Regions from separate parts of the Mus musculus genome. Here all the other regions are reported to be linked to region 1. Evidence: microRNA targets listed by miRTarBase, many of them from high-throughput screens and not tested one by one. Region 1 holds a microRNA gene; each other region holds the end of a gene's coding sequence.

Region 1 (3,888 bases):
CAAACTGCAGAGTTATGGATTGCAGTCCCAGTGGATCCACCTAGTTTGTTTTTAAGAGTCACAGTGCATTTAAATAAGTCCATATTTCTAAAACAGATGATTACTAAATCATTCATCAAACATTTTATCTATATGGATTACCACTCAAGCCCATGTATGTATAAGTAATTGAATACAGAACAGTGAATAACATCTGCATAATTTTTGTACATAGAATGAAAATGAAAGGAAAAAGCGAGGAGAAATTAAAGGAGGAAAATGAAGAGAAGGGCAGGTATATCTAGTTCCTGTCTCATAAATGAGACTGTTGTGGAGCCAGATATTGTGGTGCATACCTTTAAGCAGGAGGACCAGAATTTCTGGGTCATCTTCTGCTTCATAGTCAGTTTAAGACCAGACTAGGCTATTGGGTATCTTGTTACAAACAATCTCAATCAACCAACCAAACCAACAGCAAAACTCTCAGTAGAAAAATCAACAAATAAATAGAAAAAGAGATTGAGGGCATCCTTCATGAAAATTGATAACAATACTAGTTTATATTCAAAGTGGTCTTTACATCATTCATAAAGTAGACTAACCAATTTGTTTTTCCTAATGTATACCTCTAGTCCGATAAAATCAACAATAACAGCTATACCTTACAAAGATGTCATAGGAGCAATTCAAATGTAAAACATTTTATTCCTTGATCTTCTCAGGAAAGGTGTTCGGTTAAAATACATTATCTATTGTCCTATCTCCAGTGGAATTTTAAAATTAGAAACAACAAATGCTATTTTCATATTCAAATTACTTTCAAGTAACTGGCTAGAAATTAAACCTGAAAAGTAGTAAAATGATGGACAAGGTACTTAAAAACATTCTGGATACGATTTACTATAAATAATGGATAAAAACCTTTTGGATAAGTTTTATTATAAATGATAGATAATACATGTAAGTAAAAAAGAACTAAGAGGCACAAAGCCTTTAAGGAACTCACATTATTTCATACTATGTTAATGTAATATGCTGAAGACATTAAGAAAAATGGTTATGAAAAGGTTTTATGGTGATCCAGGAAGTTCTATTTTAATTTATTGACCCTTGTAAGATTACTGATTTAGTATTCCTTTTTATAAATACTTAAATTTCTACAAGAAATGCTTTTGCTCCCATACTTCATATAAGTCCCAGGTTCAAGTCTCTAAATTCTTTGATAATGGGACATGAACTGCGCATCTGTGATCTTTTTAAAAGATGTATTTGATATTATTACAGTTTCAAAAATGATAGTCATTTGTACATTTACCTTATATTCATTCTCTCCCATATAAGATCACAAGCTCTGTTTGGTTTGTAGTTTTTTATCCTCCACATAACAGGTGCTCAAATAAGATTTGTTGCTTCATTTATTTTTTCAACAAATACTTATTGAGGACCTGCTATATGCCAGGCATGAAGAAATATAACGTGTTCTATGTATCCTGACATTGTCTTTAAAAAGTTCGACCATATTTTTCAATATGACATAGAAGTTTCAATATTTCTAAAAAGTAATTACTAAATCATTTTCTTTATAAACCTCCTTTTATCTCTACTTTGTTCTTAGTTGTATCTAAATATAGAGCTGTTGTGTTTCTGACCTATAATGTGTTTTATTCTGGCTCTTCAATTAGACTTTTTAATACATATTTAGTTTGGCTTTGCTTCCTTACATAAACAAGGAGATGCCAAAACAAGAACAAGTACGTTTTAATTATAAGTATTAAATGTGCAAGGATTGCTATGCTTTCAAATCAAGCTAAATCATTCTACTACTCTAGAAAAGTCTTCTATTTAAAATGAATGACATATATCTATTCAGAATATTTTCAATAATAAGTTTCAAATGTAAGAATGAGGTGAGCATCAGGTGACATATTTATTAATATCCCATTAATAATGTAAAACATCTGCATCTAATGTGTCATCAATGTAATTTTTGACACATGGTCATAATATATTTGAAACAAAAGTTTTATGTTGTTGAATCAATGGGATATTTGAGGAAATTGTCTTTCTTTTACTTTGATGCATGTGAATGCTTTGCCTGCGTATATAAGTGCACCACATGCATGCAGTGCCCAAGGAGGCCATCAGAGGGTGTTAGATTCACTGAAGGTGGAGTTAAAAAACACTTGTAAACCAAATTTTGGGTGCTGGGAATTGAACCTTGGTCCTCTGCCAGAGCAACAAGTACTCCTAACTGCTAAGCCATTTCTCTAGCATCTGAATTATTGTTTATAATTCTACTAAAAAGCTAACTTTGACTCTGTGTGAAATTTTAACAATCTATGTAAAGAAGAATATCAAGTAACAAATAAAAATAGAATCAATATGGAAGTTCAAGTAGTGTGTTTTTGAATCTAGGTTGTGGTGTTTGGAGACAGGATTAGTAAAAACCTTTAAATGGATGGTTAGTTAATTAATCTGTACCAAATACAAAGTTATCCTATAAGAATTCGTGGTTTATTCTTCTGGATGTCTTCCAATCTCTATCAAGTTCTCACTGCATGTTCTGTGTATTAAATAAAAATCTACACAGCCCATGCAATGAGCACATCCTAGAGACTAATATGCTTGTGATATGTAGTTCAATAGTTGTTAAGGGGTCATCAGCTTGTTAAGTTAAAAAATATTAAGTATATTTGAAATATTAGTTGGCAAAGTGGAAAACTTAACCAAAGAATTATGGAATATTGGAAATTGAAGAACCAATAGATTAGCAATCTGTCACCCTCTACCATTGCACTACATACTCTTTCAAACCATATAAAGAAAACAAATAGCTACCACAAATAAAGGTTGATATTTGAGAACCTCCTGAGATAACATAAAAATTTATAAACTCAAATAGAAAAGGTCATTGTTCACTACATCCAAACTAAATTCCCTACTCTGGTTAGTGATCCTGTAGATAGATGGTTTTATGAGAAAAAAAAATATTGGACATAGGAAGAAGGAAAACCTGGATTACATGTTATATTTCTCTGAATTTGTACAAATTAGTTCAATCTCTGGGTCTCAGTTTATACCTATTAAACAGGGACATCAGTAACTAAATTTGCTATTTTTTTTTCAAAAGATAAAAGACTTTAATAGGTCAAAGATCTCTGTCAATTATAAAAAGTTAAGTAAAACTGGTTCTTGGTCTTACCTGAATCAACGTATTTTCCTCATAGGTCTTGTTTTTTAATATTTTTTGTGCTGTTTTTTTTTCCTGAAATGTTCCCAACAACTTTTATGTTATTTTTCAGTTCCATGACCCTGAATTAAATGTTAGACTTTATGGAGTAGCTATGTGATGACTAATTACCTATTTTTTTTTTTAATGAACAAGTTTCTTGCAATGCAGTTGTCTGGAAACAACTAAAGTCCTGGCTACAATCAAATTTAGAATAAATAGGCAGGACAGGGAGAGAGTTAATAAGGAAGTGAACAAATGCACAAGATAATTGCAGAAGAATAATGCTGTAAAAATACAACAGAGCCAAGTAAAATAAGAGACAGAGTTTAAATAGTGAGGGTTGCTGGTGTATGTATCATGGGAGATTAATGAAACAGTCACACATAACCTGGGACTTAAAGAATGAGGAGCATCTAGGCAACTGAAATAATACTGTTACAAAGAGAACATCAAGAGCATGTGACTTCAAACTGGGTGTGAATTACTATGGCTGGGGAAAGGAAAATGCCTGAGGTCCTATCGCTGAGCCCTAAATACTGCACAGTTGTAAATATGGAATGGTGTGCTAAGACAAGTAAACAAATCTTCACTGATGGTTTGGTGGAGTTGTTTTTTGAATCTTATAAATATGTTCAACATAGCATCACCAGGAGCCTTAATATTTACTTGCTAAATGA
Region 2 (3,888 bases), not on the chromosome of region 1:
CCAAGACACCATCACAAGAGTGAGAGTGTGTAATATAACTGCATAAGCCAGAATGACCTAAGATATGACAGTGCCCAGGTCACTTTATGTAGTTATTCCCATGAATGACTACATACATGAAATCCCAAGGCAAGTTCATCTACGGAAGACAGAACTCAGAACAGAGATACCTGCTGGCAGAGAGGGATTATTTTTTCGGGGGGGGGGGCGGCATATTTTTGCATAACAATTTCATGTGCGGATAGACAATTGATATAGTTTAGTGTACATTATATATAATGCTATATATACTCAATATTAATATAATGTAAAGAGATCTAATTATATAGGTAAATTTGGGAAGGACTCTACTGGTTTCAAAAATCATTTCCACCTCCCCATTAGGTCTCAGACATATATGAACAAGTAGCATCTTTTTTCCTAGTGTCCAAAGGTGGTATAATGCCTTTTTTTTTTTTTTTTTTTGATTTTTCGAGACAGGGTTTCTCTGTGTAGCCCTGGCTGTCCTGAAACTCACATTGTAGACCAGGCTAGCCTCAAACTCAGAAATCCGCCTGCCTCTGCCTCCCAAGTGCTGGGATTAAAGGCGTGGGCCATCACGCCTGGCCTGTATAATGCCTTTTAAATGAACACTTGCTACAAGACGTTATCATGACACATTCTGCCAAAATCCTGGTGATCCTACACACCTCACAGATAAAGTGTAGCTGTGGGCTGAAAAGATTTGTAAAGAAAGACAAGCATCTTGATATTCTTGAGGGGGGGTGGAAATCCTTGAAATCATGACAAACCAATCTTGCCACAGGCCTTTTCTGTATCCTTCATTCAGCACACGGACACAAGCTGACATCCCAGAAGAAAACCCCAAAATAACTGAGAGATGGTATTGGTGATCAGGGAGAGAGACCTGTGGGTTGGACAGCAGTGAGGAGAGTTGACACAGCCCACTCTGCAGTGACCCAGAGCGTCAGTGTGTGTGTGTGTGTGTGTGGGGGGGGGGGGGCTGGAAGTGTTCTGGGAAAAGGTGGGCCCTGCAGGGTGGAAGCGGCAATACTTCTGTTTTTCTGAGGCCAGAATGAAATGCTCTTCATCAGGAAAACAGGGTCCCCAGGATCAGGATGAGCTAAGGCCCCATTACCAAAAGACAGCCAGTGTGCTGTTACACACTAGCAGTATGCGGGCTATGCCTGATCACCCTGCATCACAAGCCTGAACCAGCTCAACTAGGCCGCGGCAATCCCCCTCTCACCCCTAAACACCACCCCCTGCCATGCCTCTCTCAGGGACCGCTCTAATTCAGCAGTGATTAATTTAAATAAAAAGCCTAACACCAGTATCAGGCAAATATGTTTAATTTTTTAAAATAACTGATGGCAAAATAAAATATTTACATCACATCATACTGTGTAAACATGTACGGTCTCTGTACAAAGAAATATACATGCAAAAAAATAATGTAAAAGTTTTAACTGAAATAATCAAAGAAAACAGTACACAAATAAAAGTTATGAGGTTACAGATACACATCCAGTTTTTGAATCCAATTTCTCTTAAAAAGTTTCTGTACAATTTTACAAGAAACAAACAAACAAAAAAACCCAACAGAAGAATAAATAAATACACCGGAAACTGCAAAGCTTAATTATGCCAGTTTATGGCTCACGACCCAGATGTCTGTCTGGCTTGGGAAGCAAGCTGGTCTCTTTTTTAAGTGTATTTCACACAATAAAGATAAAAAGACATCCAGAAAAATCCAAGCTTGCCAGAAATCCAACTTCTTGTGTTGAAGGACTTCCCACCCCAGCGCCAGCTCCGCCACAGTGACTCGGGCACTGCGTACCAGCCTCAGGGTGGCCAGTACTTAATTGGCTTTCTTACCAAAAGCTTAAAATCCAGCCAATTTTTATACAGAAAGTTGAATGTCAAAAAGTCTAAAAAGTAGTAAATGTTCAGACTGATTCTGGGAAAAAAATAATACTTTGGCATTCTGAATAATAGCATAATAAAATTTAAAACATTACCCTATTATCCAGTTTTATATTCAGAGTATGAAATCACTTTTTACAGTCCTCAAAACTGACAAATTTCACGAAGAGTTAAGTGTCCTTGACGGATGGCACAGGGCTACGACCCACCCCCAACACACACAGAACCATAAAGCTCACTTGCGAAGTATGTGCTTTTTCTATATATTTATTACATGTATAACAGAAGTCTTCATAAATAGTTGCAGAAAATGTTAAAGCCACAACATTGCACATGGTATGAAATAAAAACAACAAAAACCAAAACAAACAAAAAAACCAAAACAAACAAAACCCCAATGAGTGCATTTACAGTATTTTCATCTGACTGTATACCGTTCAACAATCTGATTGACGGTTTGGGGTGGTGGGGCTGGGGAGGGGGCAGTGGGGCTGGACCCAGCCTCAAGTCTCCATTGGATGGACAGACCCCATCAGACCCCCCGAGAGGAAGGCCCAGGCGGTGGGTAGGAGGGGAAGGGGTGGGGGATTGCCAGACAAAAGGCAGGAAGAGTCTTATGTACAAGTAAGGCCTACATTTCATCAGAGCAAAACCATTCATTATATTTTATGCAAAAGATTGAGGTTGAACACACATCTCAGAAGCCAAGTCTGGTGCCCGGCAGGATGTACCCAGACGAGGCAGCTGGAAAAGCTCGGTGCCAGGTGGACACCAAGCACTGGCTGAGCCCATGGGAGTGGCTGCCACCTGGCGAGTCTCTCCCAGAAATGCACAGTTTCTCAGTTCTGTGTAACACCAGTGGTTTGAACATAGGCATGTGTTTTTTTTTTTTTTTGAATAAATCTTGAAAATGTTAAATTTGCAAAATTCTATCCATGTTCATTAAAAAAAGTATCTCTTTTTTATTATTATTATTATTATTTTTGCAGGAACCTGAATAAAATACTGTGATCCAGCAATGCGGTCTCTGCCCATGCAGAGTGTAACTGAAGGTCCTCCACCCCAGCGCACCTTGCAGCTCTGAGCCCAAGCGCTGTTGAGCACAGCTCACTTGGAATGCCATTTCACACGATGAACAGCCGGCGGCCGGCCACTTAGTTTTGGTTTGGTTTCCTCTTCAAAAATTCAAATTAACAGCTGATTGGCAGGTGAAAGAGAATGAGAAAGAACTTCAAGATAGGTCAAACTCTAGGCAGAAGCCTGCTCTGTAAGAAGTTTTTAATGCTACGGATAGGTCGAACATCATTCTGGTGTTTGCGCCGCTCAATGAAGGAGGTCAGTCTGGACGTGTCGAGGACGCCCGTGCCTTTGCCGCTGCCGTTGCCTGCCTGCAGCCACTGTTCCTGCAGGGCCAGTGCAGCCGAGGGACGCTTGGCGGGGTCCTCCTGTAGGAGGAAGCACACGAATTCTTTGGCCTTCTGGCTAACTCCTTGAAAGTAGTCCTCTGGGAAGCTAAAGTCCAGCCGGCAAATATTCAGGCAGGTCTCTTCCACGCTGTCATCCAGGAAGGGGGACACGCCGCTGAGCAGCACGTAGGTGAGCACCCCAACACTCCATGTGTCCGCGGTCAGGGAGACAGGGTTCCCAAGAATGATTTCCGGGGCTGCAAACTCGGGGTTCCCCAGCAACTGGTGGATGTAGTAGGTGGTGTTGAGCTGGACAGCGTCTCCAAAGTCAGCCAGTTTAATGGTTGGCTTGGCCAAACTCTGATCCACCAAGATATTCTCAGGCTAGAATGTAGGAGGAGACACCGTCATTGGCAAACATCCCTAATCCATGCTCAATCTGACCACTGTCAGGATCCTCTGGAGAGGCAGAAGTTAGCCACACAACTGTCACCCAAAGGAAGTTCTTTGGACCAGTGAGGGAACAAGCTGGAGAGGAACAGCCCCCTAGGAGTGG
Region 3 (3,000 bases), not on the chromosome of region 1:
TCCTTTCCATTGGGAGGGACACTGGTTTTCACTGCCAGCACACTCACAGCTGTCATTGATTGGCTGCTTTATTTATTTTACTGCAGAAACCAGGTGACTTTGTAAATGTGGTGCAGTTTTTAAGAGGGAGAGTGATGTGTTTGCTTCTTTCCTGTGCAGATCCCGAAATGGAAAATGAAGACCAGCCATCTTCTGAAAATGATTCTCAGAATCAGAGCGCAGAGCAGATGCTCTCGCTTTCTCAGACAGTCGACTTGGCTGATAAGGAGAGCCCTGAACACCCTGCAGATTCTCACTCAGAGGCGTCTCCATCGGACAGTGAAGAGGCTGCTGGCTTTGCCCCCTCTGAACAGATATCTGGGTCCACCGAAAACCACGAGACTACAAGCCTTGATGGTGAATGTACAGACTTAGATAACCAAGTTCAAGAACAATCAGAAACTGAGGAAGATTCCAGTCCTAATGTCAGCTGGGGTACAAAGGCCCAGCCTATAGACTCCATATTAGCAGACTGGAATGAAGACATAGAAGCATTTGAAATGATGGAGAAGGATGAACTATGACTCTCTGGAAAGACTCTGGTGGTAGATATTTAAAAGGAAGAGGTAAACTGTGGTTTGTGACACCCACCCTGTACCAAGCAGGCTCTCCTGGGAGGCTCTGAGCATTGCTCAAGCGCGTTCTGACTGGGGTAAGTAGCCACCATAGGAACCTGGAGCACGCTGTGTTAGAGCTGACCACTGAAACTGCCCCATCCAAAGTGGAGACTCACAAGCCCTCAGATGGCGGTATCCCTGGCCAGGGAAAGATGACTGCCCACTCCTGGGTAGACAAGAAGCAAATTCAGCTAATGGAACCTGGGAACAGAGTCAGTGTCGCTTTCTGATTGAAGAAAGCTTCACTGCCTTGGGCTTGGGGAAGATTTGAGCGAGTATTGTGGCATCTCGGCTTTGCTGCCTTCACAGGAACTCTCTAAGTGACCTACGGGTTCTGAAGCAGATGCATTTACGGCAATGACAGTTTCTGCGCATCGCTGTTACATGCTTCAATCAGTGACAAATGGCCAGGACGACTTGATTTCTTTTCCTCTCCCAACAATGACCTTAGCATTTAACCAAAGCTGAGCCCAGTGTACTTTTCCCATAGGTCTCCGTAAAGACCTACTACGGGGCCATGGAGAGGGTCCGGTAGATAGTGTGGAAATTTGTTGCTTACTGCTCGGGGTAAATAGAGAAGGAGAAACTGTAATGTTGCAATATCAACTTCCCGTTGGGGGAAGCTATGACTACTCTAGATGGAACTCAGCATTAGGTCCTGGTGGGGTAGATTGGAAGTCTTTTCTAGTTCATTTCTCTTAAGGTGGTTCCTCTAACCATCAGCCTTACTCCATCCATTTTAGTATGCAGTTTGAGATGGAAGGCTCGTCTCCAAGCCCTGCTCCATCTCCCTATCTTATAGAGCCATGAGAAACCATGGTAGTAGACTGTAGTCCCGGGGTGACTACTGTCTTTCTCCTTTGAAGCTGGAGTCTGTCACATTTTCTGTTAAATCATGGGTTTAGGTTTGTTTTGTTTTGTTTTAACAAATACTCCTTCCTTCTAATGTGGACTTGAAAATTAGTCTCTGGTGACCTGTGTAAAAACTATATAGCCATATAAGTAAAAGAAAAAGATTTTTTGGGGGTGTGTGTGGCAGTCTGGAGCTGGTCACATTTAATTATTTTTGGTTTTGCTTATTGATACTTCTACATTGAAATCATGGTTTTATTCATTTTATTTATTTTTGAACTTGTTTTAATTGCTTCTAAAGGAATATTTGAGGGACTTCATTCCTTTTTACCATGGCATTACACAGTAACTTTTCTCTACAACGTGGTTTTGAGGTACTGAATGACTTAGGTTATCTATGGAGCCATGAATGACAGCAGTGCTGTGCTGTAGTTGTGTAAGTTCATGTCTTAGGTCCCAGGTAAGCGTGCCCTTTTATAAGGGAATAAATACCTGTTTTCAAAAGGTCCAAATAAATGATTGGTCAGTGAGTGATGAATCTTAGAGAATTCCTTGGGGCCGGGGTAGCATGGCAAGGCCTTCATTAACTCGTAGTTAAACCTGACAGCAAACATGGGTATTTTAGTCTCTCTGCATGGGAAGTTTGGTGTGAGAAGATAGAACCGTAATACATAGAGTATACAGAAGGGGAGATGTGCTTCGTTTTATTTCATTGCAAAGCTGCCAAAATAGCTGACGCTTAATTACTTGACTTGATTTCTAGGACTGGGGCTTGGAGGAAGGGAACAGATGTTCCTTGGCGACTTTGATTACAGAAGCCTTCTATGGATTGATTTTGTATTTGTAGCTCAAAGCCATTGTTGACTAAATCAAACTCTGCTAAGTTATCAAAGCCGCATATTTTTTTCCTTTGAGAACTTAAGGGCATGAAGGGGAGCCCATGGCACATTAGGAAAAGCCAGCGACTGCCACTTACATTCCTTTGGCCACTAGGAGGAGCTGTTGCCCTTCATTAAGGCACCTATTGATTTGTTTAGGAAAACCAAATCCTTTAAAGAAATAAATTTAAGACATTTTACTTACTAACTAGAAGGAATAATACTCAGTTCCCCCTACTTAAGAAAAGAGGAATACGTTCAGCGTCAGAACACAACATTCTAACTGAGTCTCCATCCATTTTTGTATTTGACATACTGCCTGCCACAAAGTAGTCTTTTGAGTTCACTAGGAAATTCCAACAGCATAGATTTTTAAAAAATTTTTTTTTCATTGTTGTTGATGTTTGTTAAAAACCTTTCATAGATATTTTATTTACTTGCTGAAGATTCAGGGACTTCTGAGACCCTGAGTTTAGAAACATCTGGTCTACCTCAGTTAAATGTTGACTGCTTAGAAATAGAGCTGAAATGATCACCACAGCCATAAAATTGTTTGACTAAGAAAGATTTATATAATGTTTACAAACCTGGAATCAAGTGCGGATATTACCTGA
Region 4 (3,888 bases), not on the chromosome of region 1:
ACCTCCCAGAGTGTACATGGTTCCTAAGTCACCAATTCCAGCAACATCCCTGCTGCAAGTTAAATAAAGTGAGTGATTTCGTTTCCTTCAGGCAGAGGGTGAGTAGCCAGCCCACTGCTACTGAGGCAGACATGTTTCTCTAGAAGCTCGTCTGGTTAGGGAATAGTCATGTATTTGTGGGGACTCCATTATAGGCCAAGCACAGGTGGCTTCAGATATGTTCTATGTAAGCCTCATACACACTGGGACTTGTGGTCACTTCCAGGAAGGAAACAAAGGCTGCATAGATCTGAACTCCTGACAGATTTTAAGTTTATTTCGTTCACATGCTCATACTTAGTTCATTCTTGGACTAAAGAACAGAGTGGTACAAATCACCTGAATGTCAGCATTTCTATATAGGTTTTTACTGGGAAGGTGATACGGGTGTTTCATATATTCAGCATCTCAGATGCATTAGAAAGACAGAGATACCAATGTTGAGTGTATGTGTGCTGAGTTTGCATAAGAGAACTGGGGTATTAGGTGGGTGGGCAGAGGAAGGGAAGAGAGAGTCTAACCAAAGGGTGGTCGTCACTTCTGGAAAAAACTTTCACTGACAGGGACCTGCCATCATAAACCCTTAGCAGCGATCCAGCCCAGTCCCCAGAAACACAACAGGCACCAGACTGTCTACCAAGAAGTTTAAAACAGAGGATGGAAAGGCCTCTGGGTGCATTGTATTTTAGAAATGTTAAAGTATCTAATATCTTCTCCCCGGCTGCAGTTCTCACATCTTAATTTTCAAATCGCCCACCACATTTCTTTCTGTGTTAGTGGGAAATGTATGACTCCCATTTCTGTGCTCACCTTTAAATGCTCTGTTAGTCTATTAGAAGCCACACCCTTCTTAATTAAAAGGTTGCGTCTGTACAATTTCATATTCCACAATTCCCTTTAGCCAGAAGCCCCCAAGGGGTCATGGGACGTTCTTCCCGTGCTTTTTCCTTCAGAGTGTTAACCTGGTCAGGATATGTGGGACACCCGCCCTTCCCTAAGGAGCCCACACCCGTCACTTCCCGCCCAGTGACTGATGGTTTCCCTTTAGTGATGTGATGGCTTCTGGGCTATACCTTGACCCAGGCTTGCCTGGGCTGGTCGTGGTGGAGCGCCTCACTCTTCTATGTTGTTTATAGGTGCCAGCCTGCAGGGTGAGGAAAGTTGACCATATGCTACTGTTTGCAGCTTCCTGCTTGGTGGACTTGGCGAGGCCCTGCTGGTTTTCTCAGAGCGGAGGAGTTCCTCATGAAGATGGACAAGAAAAGGCAGCCTGCAGCTTGCTGCTGGAGGACACAGCCCCTGGCCTCCCTCTTGAGAGCTATAAAAAGACCACATTACAGTGAGACCATGCTGAGGTTTCCAGCTGGGCAAAGCTGTGAGCTGCACATGCCCCAGCCAAGTTGAACACATGGATGGCTGATGATTGCAACAGCCCACTTTCTTATTATTAGGGGGACTTCCCAGGGACCGCTGCAGAGAATGGGTCCGTCTTATATGCTGAACCATCTCCTCTCTGCTGCACCCAGTTCTGCGGGATCAAGAAGCAGAGGGTCTTAATGGGATGGCTGTGTCCTACCAGTTACTGCTTTGGAATTGATGTCACAGTCCATGGAATCTTGTTGCATTTTGGGGAGTTGTTTTGTGTCTTTACATCTTGGAGTCTCTTATACCCTTTGATTTTTCTGGAGCCCATGCCTTCCCACACAAAACAAGACATGTATGTTATGACATGTGGGACAGGGCAGGTGTGGGGTTGATCAGGGGCGCTGGACCAAGTGAAACCCCAGCGAAGATCCTTAGCTTGGAGTGAGTGGCAGCCTTTGTGGTTATGCTGATGTAGTTCCAGCCTCTAATTTTCTCTTGTTCTTTTGAGTTTGTCAGGATGTGTTGAATCTGTAGACCATTGAACATGGGTAGATTAAGCTGATAACTAATCGATTACCTGAAGTCTTTGAAGTATTCTGTAGTTCAGGTGGGCCTTAAATACCACACCTTCTGCCTTAGCCTCCTGAGTGCTGAGATCGCAGGCACTAGCTATTTTATGCTTAGTGTGTGTTCCCTAAAGTCTTTACTATGTGTGATTCCTTCATAACTCAGAAGAGATCTCAAGTCATTGAGCACTGGATTTTATCTCTTACACCAAATTATAAAAATTAAAGTCCCATAGCTCTAGAGAATAAACCACTATATAAAATATTCACTTGATTCTGAAGCCAGCAAGGCTTAAGAAAATAATGCTAGATTTTCTTCTCATTGGTGTCACAGAACTTGGTTGTTGTTCCAAGTCTTCGGTGGTTTTGGCCGTACTGAGCTTACTTCATCAGCCTTCCAGTGTAGGAGACCCGTGCCATTGACCCACAGAGACCCTCTGGGCTATGAGGATTGCTCCTTGTTGCAGGCTCAGATCCAGGATGAATGAGAGCAGCTCATTGTTGCTACATTTTTTCCCCAACTTGTTGGCAAACAGAATGAAACAGGAGGATAGATTTATGTATATAGAATGTGAGGACCTTTAATTCCTGTCCTTTCCTGATCTCTGCTCATCATTTAAGGTGAAAATGTTCCAAGACTTGATGCCTGTGTACTTTTCAATTTGCTGTCTTAGAATATTTTTACATTTATTTATTCTATTATTTTATGTGTATTGTATACCACATGTGTGCCTGGTACCTGTGAAGGTCAGAAGAGGCCATCAGCTCTACAGAAACTGGAGTTACAGATAGTGAGCTGCCACGTGACTGCTGTGAATTGAACTCATGCTCTGCAAAAGTGATCTTAACTGCTGAGCTAACTCGACTCTCCTGCCCTGTAATTTGCTTTTTAAAAATATTTGTATTTAAATTGTCTGTATGTTTATAAGCATGTGCATAATGAGTGCAGGTGCCCCAGGGAGGCCAGAGGAGAATATTGGGTCCCCTGGAGTTGGAATTACAGGAAGTTATGAGCTGCCCAGTGTGGGTTCTGGGAGACAAACTCTGGTCCTCTATAGGAACATTGCATGGTCTTAACTGAGCGTGTCTCTCTAGCTGAGCACTCGCTGTTGTTCTTCATCTAGTATAGCAAACCAGTAAGTAGATAGGAATGTCCTATAGAGCAAATAGAGACTCTGAGCTTAGAATTTTCCTTTTTTTTAATACCCACAAAACTTTCTACTGCTCCCTTTCCCCTGACCCCACTTTTGCAAAAGTGGTATCTGTCCAGATGTCATCCTGTGCCTGTCCTAAATGTCATTTAAGCAATGGAGAGTCCTCAGGTGGAGAGAACCACACAGCTACTAATCCCAGCGCCATCTCTAGCAGGAAGAACCTTTACTGAGAAGTTTTACTGAGAAGTTTCAGACACTTTGGCTGTAAAGATGTCTAGCAGCTAGTGCTTTGTTTTTCAACCACATTGAGTTCCATTGTTCCTGAGTCTCTCTCGGGTGTTTTTGTTGTGTGCTGAGAAGGTAAGATGATGGGACCAGTTGCTCCTTCAGTGCACTGACCTGTGTACTCAGTTTCCATCTGTGTTCGGAGCTTCTTTCTTTAAGGTGTGGCCACCATCTTTCATCCCCCCTCCTCATGCTCAGCTCTGAAAGTTCAGTAAACCCAGGGATGCATGAAGGCCTCCCATTACTGAGCTCTGAGCTCTGCTGTGAGTACCTGGGCCCAGGCTTCTAAGGTATCCACAGACCTCATGCTGTCATGCCTACTCAATTCTGAGTTCTTACCAACTCCAAATGTATGTATGTTTGTTTGTTTGTTTGAGGCAGGGTCTCTATTATGTAGCCCTGGCTGTCCTACTAGATGTGTAGGCCAGGCTAGCCTTGAACTAGCCTGCCTTTGTCTCCCAGTACTGAACTTAAAAGGC
Region 5 (3,888 bases), not on the chromosome of region 1:
CACACGCACGCACATGCATGCGCCACCACACCACACCCATACATAATGAAATAAAAAAGATCAAACAAATAAAAAGTATATTTTCAGTCCAGAGACTGGATTTAGCAGGATAGATCCTTTGGAAGTAGAAGTCTGATGGGTGGGACATATTTCGCGATTGACTAAGTGTTTTGAAAACCAGTCTCTGCTTACAACGGGAACTTGCAGAAACAAGCCAGGTTTCTAGTCCAGTAAACAAAACCAGCGCTTGGTAAGCAGGGCCTCGTTATTCACCTCATGGGAGGGGAGGGAAGCTTCACATGTCCACTGTGTCCGAGGGGAGGTTGGAATGGCCAGGGTATCCAAGTTTCCACTGTGTGCGGAGCAGAAGCTCTCTGCAACCGTTGGAGATGTAACTCAGCAGAGATAAACTATCTGAAATTGTAGAACTTTTTGAGACCAACACCCAACACTTTATATGCTTCCCAGGAAATATGCAGTTTTTCGTATATGTGTGTGCAGGGTGGCAGACAACTCTGACTACCATTCCTCAGGCACCTTGTGTTTTACAACCCAGACTGTGTTGTGGGGACCTTGCCCGCTCCATCATTGGCTTGTCATTCCTCTGCACACCTGCCATTCCTCAGTGGCCACCTCTGGTGCAGATTAATGTTCACCTTGGCATCCCTATCATCTAATGTATGGCCGAGTGAGCACAGGCTCCAGGCACAAAGGAACCATTGCCCGTGTGGTCCTGTTGCCAGAAAGGAAAGCCTGGCGTTCACATGGCTCTGTGCTGTCGATTCTGAGAGATGAGACAGGAACTGTGTCCACCATAGAGAGACTTTGCAAGTCCACTGCAGGCTGTGGCATTTCATCTCTAGATCACTGGGCTGGGGTACTCTGGGACTTTACCAGGCTTAGAGTGACCAGTCTCCTTGAAGCTGCTGACTGCCCGGGGAGATGGGGAGAAACAGGGACAGATGCAAGATCACCTGCCACCTATGAGCTGATTGACAAGTACCCACTGCCCATCTGATAAGCAGCTGTGACAGCAACAAGGCAAGGAAAGGAACTTGTCTTGTTCCCACCGTGGGTATCCTTGCTAAAGTGGGCACCTCTGCTACAGTGGGCACCTCTGCTACAGTGGGTACCCTTGCTACAGTGGGTACCTCTGCTACAGTGGGTACCCCTGCTACAGTGGGTACCTCTGCTACAGTGGGTACCCCTGCTACAGTGGGTATCTCTGCTACAGTGGGTACCTTTGCTGCAAGGAACTGTCTCCCTCCAGAGAAAGATGGAGAAGGCAGTAGATCCCCACCAGCTGGGACTACTTGTGATTTTCAATGTTCTTCCTGCTTGCAGTCAGCAGGGAATTCATTGGTCCCTGTTATGCTGGGATCTCTGCTTTGCCTCCAGTGGTCCTCTCTGTGGGCCATAGCTGGCACCAGTTCAGGTCGTAGGCCCTGTTTCTAGCATGAAATATTGGCTGTCATACTTTCAAGAAGCAGCCAGACTCTCCAGTGTGACACCTCTGCCCAATAACAAAAGGGTTTTGCACTGGGCTCTTGTCCCCTTTTCACTTAAGGACCCTTGTGACACCCTCCCTGGTGGGAAGAAGGACATCTCATCCTGGGTACTTTGGCCAAGTACGTCTTCCTTCCCTGTGTCAAAAGATGCTTCCTGGCCCAGGGGAGTCAACAGGATCTCTCTTATGGAATGATAGATCACTCAAGCTCCGCAGGATTTAGGGGACTGGCTCTTTCCTAACTCTTTCCTCATAGATGGACGTCACAGGGCTGGGAGGATAGATGCGCCATGCCCTGACAATGGTCTGGCCCTCTGTGTTTGGGGCAGTAAAGCTTGACACTTGTAGCTTTGGCAGAAAAGCCACTCCCAGTTGTTTTGAATTATAAAGCAGTCTCAGGATTCCTGAGACTGTAGATAATCAAAACACATGTGGGAGTGTGCGCACGTGTGCGAGCACACACACACACACACACACACAAGCATATGTTACATTTCTCCTATACACGCCTGTGATTAAGTCTAATTAATAAACCAGGCCCAGGAAAGCTTAATAAGAATAATAAACAAAGGACAATTTTAACTATTGTAATAAAATGAGGTCTCTTTAAGAATTCAAAAAAACAATATTTGAAGACTTTTGTGGTTGAACGTAACAGTGAGGGAGGGAGGGAGGGGAGGAAGGAGGGAGGGAGGCAAAAACACGGGGAAGGGGGCTGTGGAACCCCCTGAAGAAGAGCATGGGGCCACTGTGTTTTCTGGGTGCTCAGAAGGTAGGTTTTCTGCCTACAGGCGACAGGGTAAATGAAAAGGGTCCCTATTATTCTCCTCAGGGACCAATTTAATGAAGGCAGGCCTGGGGCACATCCAAGGGGAGGGTTGCCCCAAGAAGAGGATTCGATGGTTATTCTCTGCAATCTCTAATGCTCCCCCCCACCCCGGACTGCCCAGACAAGTGTCCACTCCACGGAGATGTCCAAATTAATGATGGAAAAGGCGAGAAGGCACAGTGATTTAAAGGGGGGGTCACCAGCAACTTAATGGAGAGGAAACAATTATCCTCCTCCCGAAGACCAGGTTCATTAATGGCTCTGGAGAGGCGGTGACTTCACACCTTCGCAGAAGGATCAATTTGCAGGCTCCGGTGGTGACTCTGGACTTTCAGGGGGTGGGGAAGAATCTTCTCAGCTCAGCTAGGATCAGATGGGGCAGCTTCAGACCCTTCCCTGAAGAAAGGACGGACCTGAAAAAGCTCCTGCATAGATCCCAGGGGGTCTTGCTGAGCCTCCCCACGCACGCCCAGGGAAGCAGCAGAGTCCAGACCTGGTTCCCTGTTCACTCGAGGCTTCTTTCTTAGCCCTGGGATGGGGGTAGGCGGCACCAGAGGCATTTCTTGCCCCAGCTTTGCACCAACTTTAGGATTCAGCTAATAAGGAGCATAGAGATTAAAGGAGAGAATCCAACGAAAGACAGTTTCTCCTATACCAGAGTGTCTGTCTGCCTCTGTAGATACCACAAGGGTGGGATCTGCTGTTCAATGTGTGGCATTTGCTTTGAAATGCTTACGCTGAAATATAGGGACCCACTTTTTTTTTTTAGCTAAGTAAGAATAATAGCAAATCTTATTATATGTGAAATATATGTAAGTACATATCACATGTATGGGGTGTCATTCTGAGTATGTCAGTTTACACCTGCATCCCAGGAATTAGGATCTCAGCCACCCACGCATATATCATCACCTCGCTGTGCAGCATCCAGAAAAGAGACCCGAACCCAGCTCAGGGCCCCCACAAGCCATCTCCACTTCCAGGGCCTCACACGTGGCTTGTTTTCTCCCCCTGTGTGTGGTCGCCGGGCAGCATGAACTTGACAGCCCCATCTTTCTCCCAGCCCCTGCGTATCTTGGTGAGTCTGCGGTTGAGGCAGGGCAGGAGGAAGAGGCCCTTGGCCAGGATGATCACACAGGGCAGGAGCAGCGTGAGTGTGAATGTGGGCGGCAGGTAGAACTTGTAGTGGTTTTCCTCAAAGGCACGGGTCCAGCCGTAGGTGAGTGTGTGCATTGTGCTGAGTATCAGGGCCACGAAGCCCAGTGTGGACTGTGGAAAGAGAGAAGGCAGGAATGAGAGGACGGCCCCTGAGCCCAGGGCATCTCTGGGTCAAATCCCAGCTCCCTGTGCCAACTTGGAGGAGTCGATCTTCTCATTTTCCCATGTAAGTCCCAGGAATGAACTTCAGGTTGTCAGGGTTGGCAGCAACTGCCTTGACCACTGAATCATCTTGCTGGCCCTGGCCACCATCCCCTCCCCTACTTCTTGACAGGGCGTCTCCTCTTCTAGTCTACCCTCAAACTCAGTATGTAGCTAAGGATGACCTTGACCT

The links. Region 1 holds the annotated microRNA mmu-miR-1264-3p (CAAAUCUUAUUUGAGCACCUGU, at 1,364-1,385, opposite strand). A microRNA usually pairs through its seed, bases 2 to 8, with sites in the 3' UTR of a target mRNA and lowers its output. Matches are read on the target gene's strand: a 7mer-m8 pairs with bases 2 to 8, a 7mer-A1 pairs with bases 2 to 7 and ends in A, and an 8mer does both.
Region 2: the mRNA of Trio is a reported target of mmu-miR-1264-3p. Seed matches in the 3' UTR shown: 8mer at 2,825-2,832.
Region 3: miRTarBase lists Edem3 as a target of mmu-miR-1264-3p. Seed matches in the 3' UTR shown: 7mer-m8 at 919-925, 7mer-m8 at 1,669-1,675 and 8mer at 2,950-2,957.
Region 4: miRTarBase lists Tmem241 as a target of mmu-miR-1264-3p. Seed matches in the 3' UTR shown: 7mer-A1 at 2,523-2,529.
Region 5: the mRNA of Steap3 is a reported target of mmu-miR-1264-3p. Seed matches in the 3' UTR shown: 7mer-m8 at 3,124-3,130.

The regions. Positions count from the first base shown.
Region 1 is chrX:147,008,152-147,012,039 of GRCm38, reverse strand. It overlaps Mir1264 (microRNA 1264), which reads right to left and starts at 1,439; the gene lies at 1,354-1,439. The region is part of intron 2 of Htr2c (5-hydroxytryptamine (serotonin) receptor 2C); the gene reads right to left. It overlaps Mir1912 (microRNA 1912), which reads right to left and starts at 2,599; the gene lies at 2,513-2,599.
Region 2 is chr15:27,729,315-27,733,202 of GRCm38, forward strand. It overlaps Trio (triple functional domain (PTPRF interacting)), which reads right to left. Exons shown (of 57, transcript NM_001081302.1): 57 at 1,335-3,716. The coding sequence ends at 3,168. Among named protein-coding and RNA genes, the nearest start is that of Otulinl, 50 kb to the left of the region's middle.
Region 3 is chr1:151,818,151-151,821,150 of GRCm38, forward strand. It overlaps Edem3 (ER degradation enhancer, mannosidase alpha-like 3), which reads left to right. Exons shown (of 20, transcript NM_001039644.2): 20 at 160-3,000. The coding sequence ends at 563. Among named protein-coding and RNA genes, the nearest start is that of Edem3, 64 kb to the left of the region's middle.
Region 4 is chr18:11,980,930-11,984,817 of GRCm38, reverse strand. Tmem241 (transmembrane protein 241) reads left to right here. Exons shown (of 15, transcript NM_001289666.1): 15 at 1,225-3,515. The coding sequence ends at 1,288. Among named protein-coding and RNA genes, the nearest start is that of Gm41666, 34 kb to the right of the region's middle.
Region 5 is chr1:120,224,324-120,228,211 of GRCm38, forward strand. Steap3 (STEAP family member 3) reads right to left here. Exons shown (of 5, transcript NM_001379355.1): 5 at 2,091-3,605. The coding sequence ends at 3,324. Among named protein-coding and RNA genes, the nearest start is that of Steap3, 33 kb to the right of the region's middle.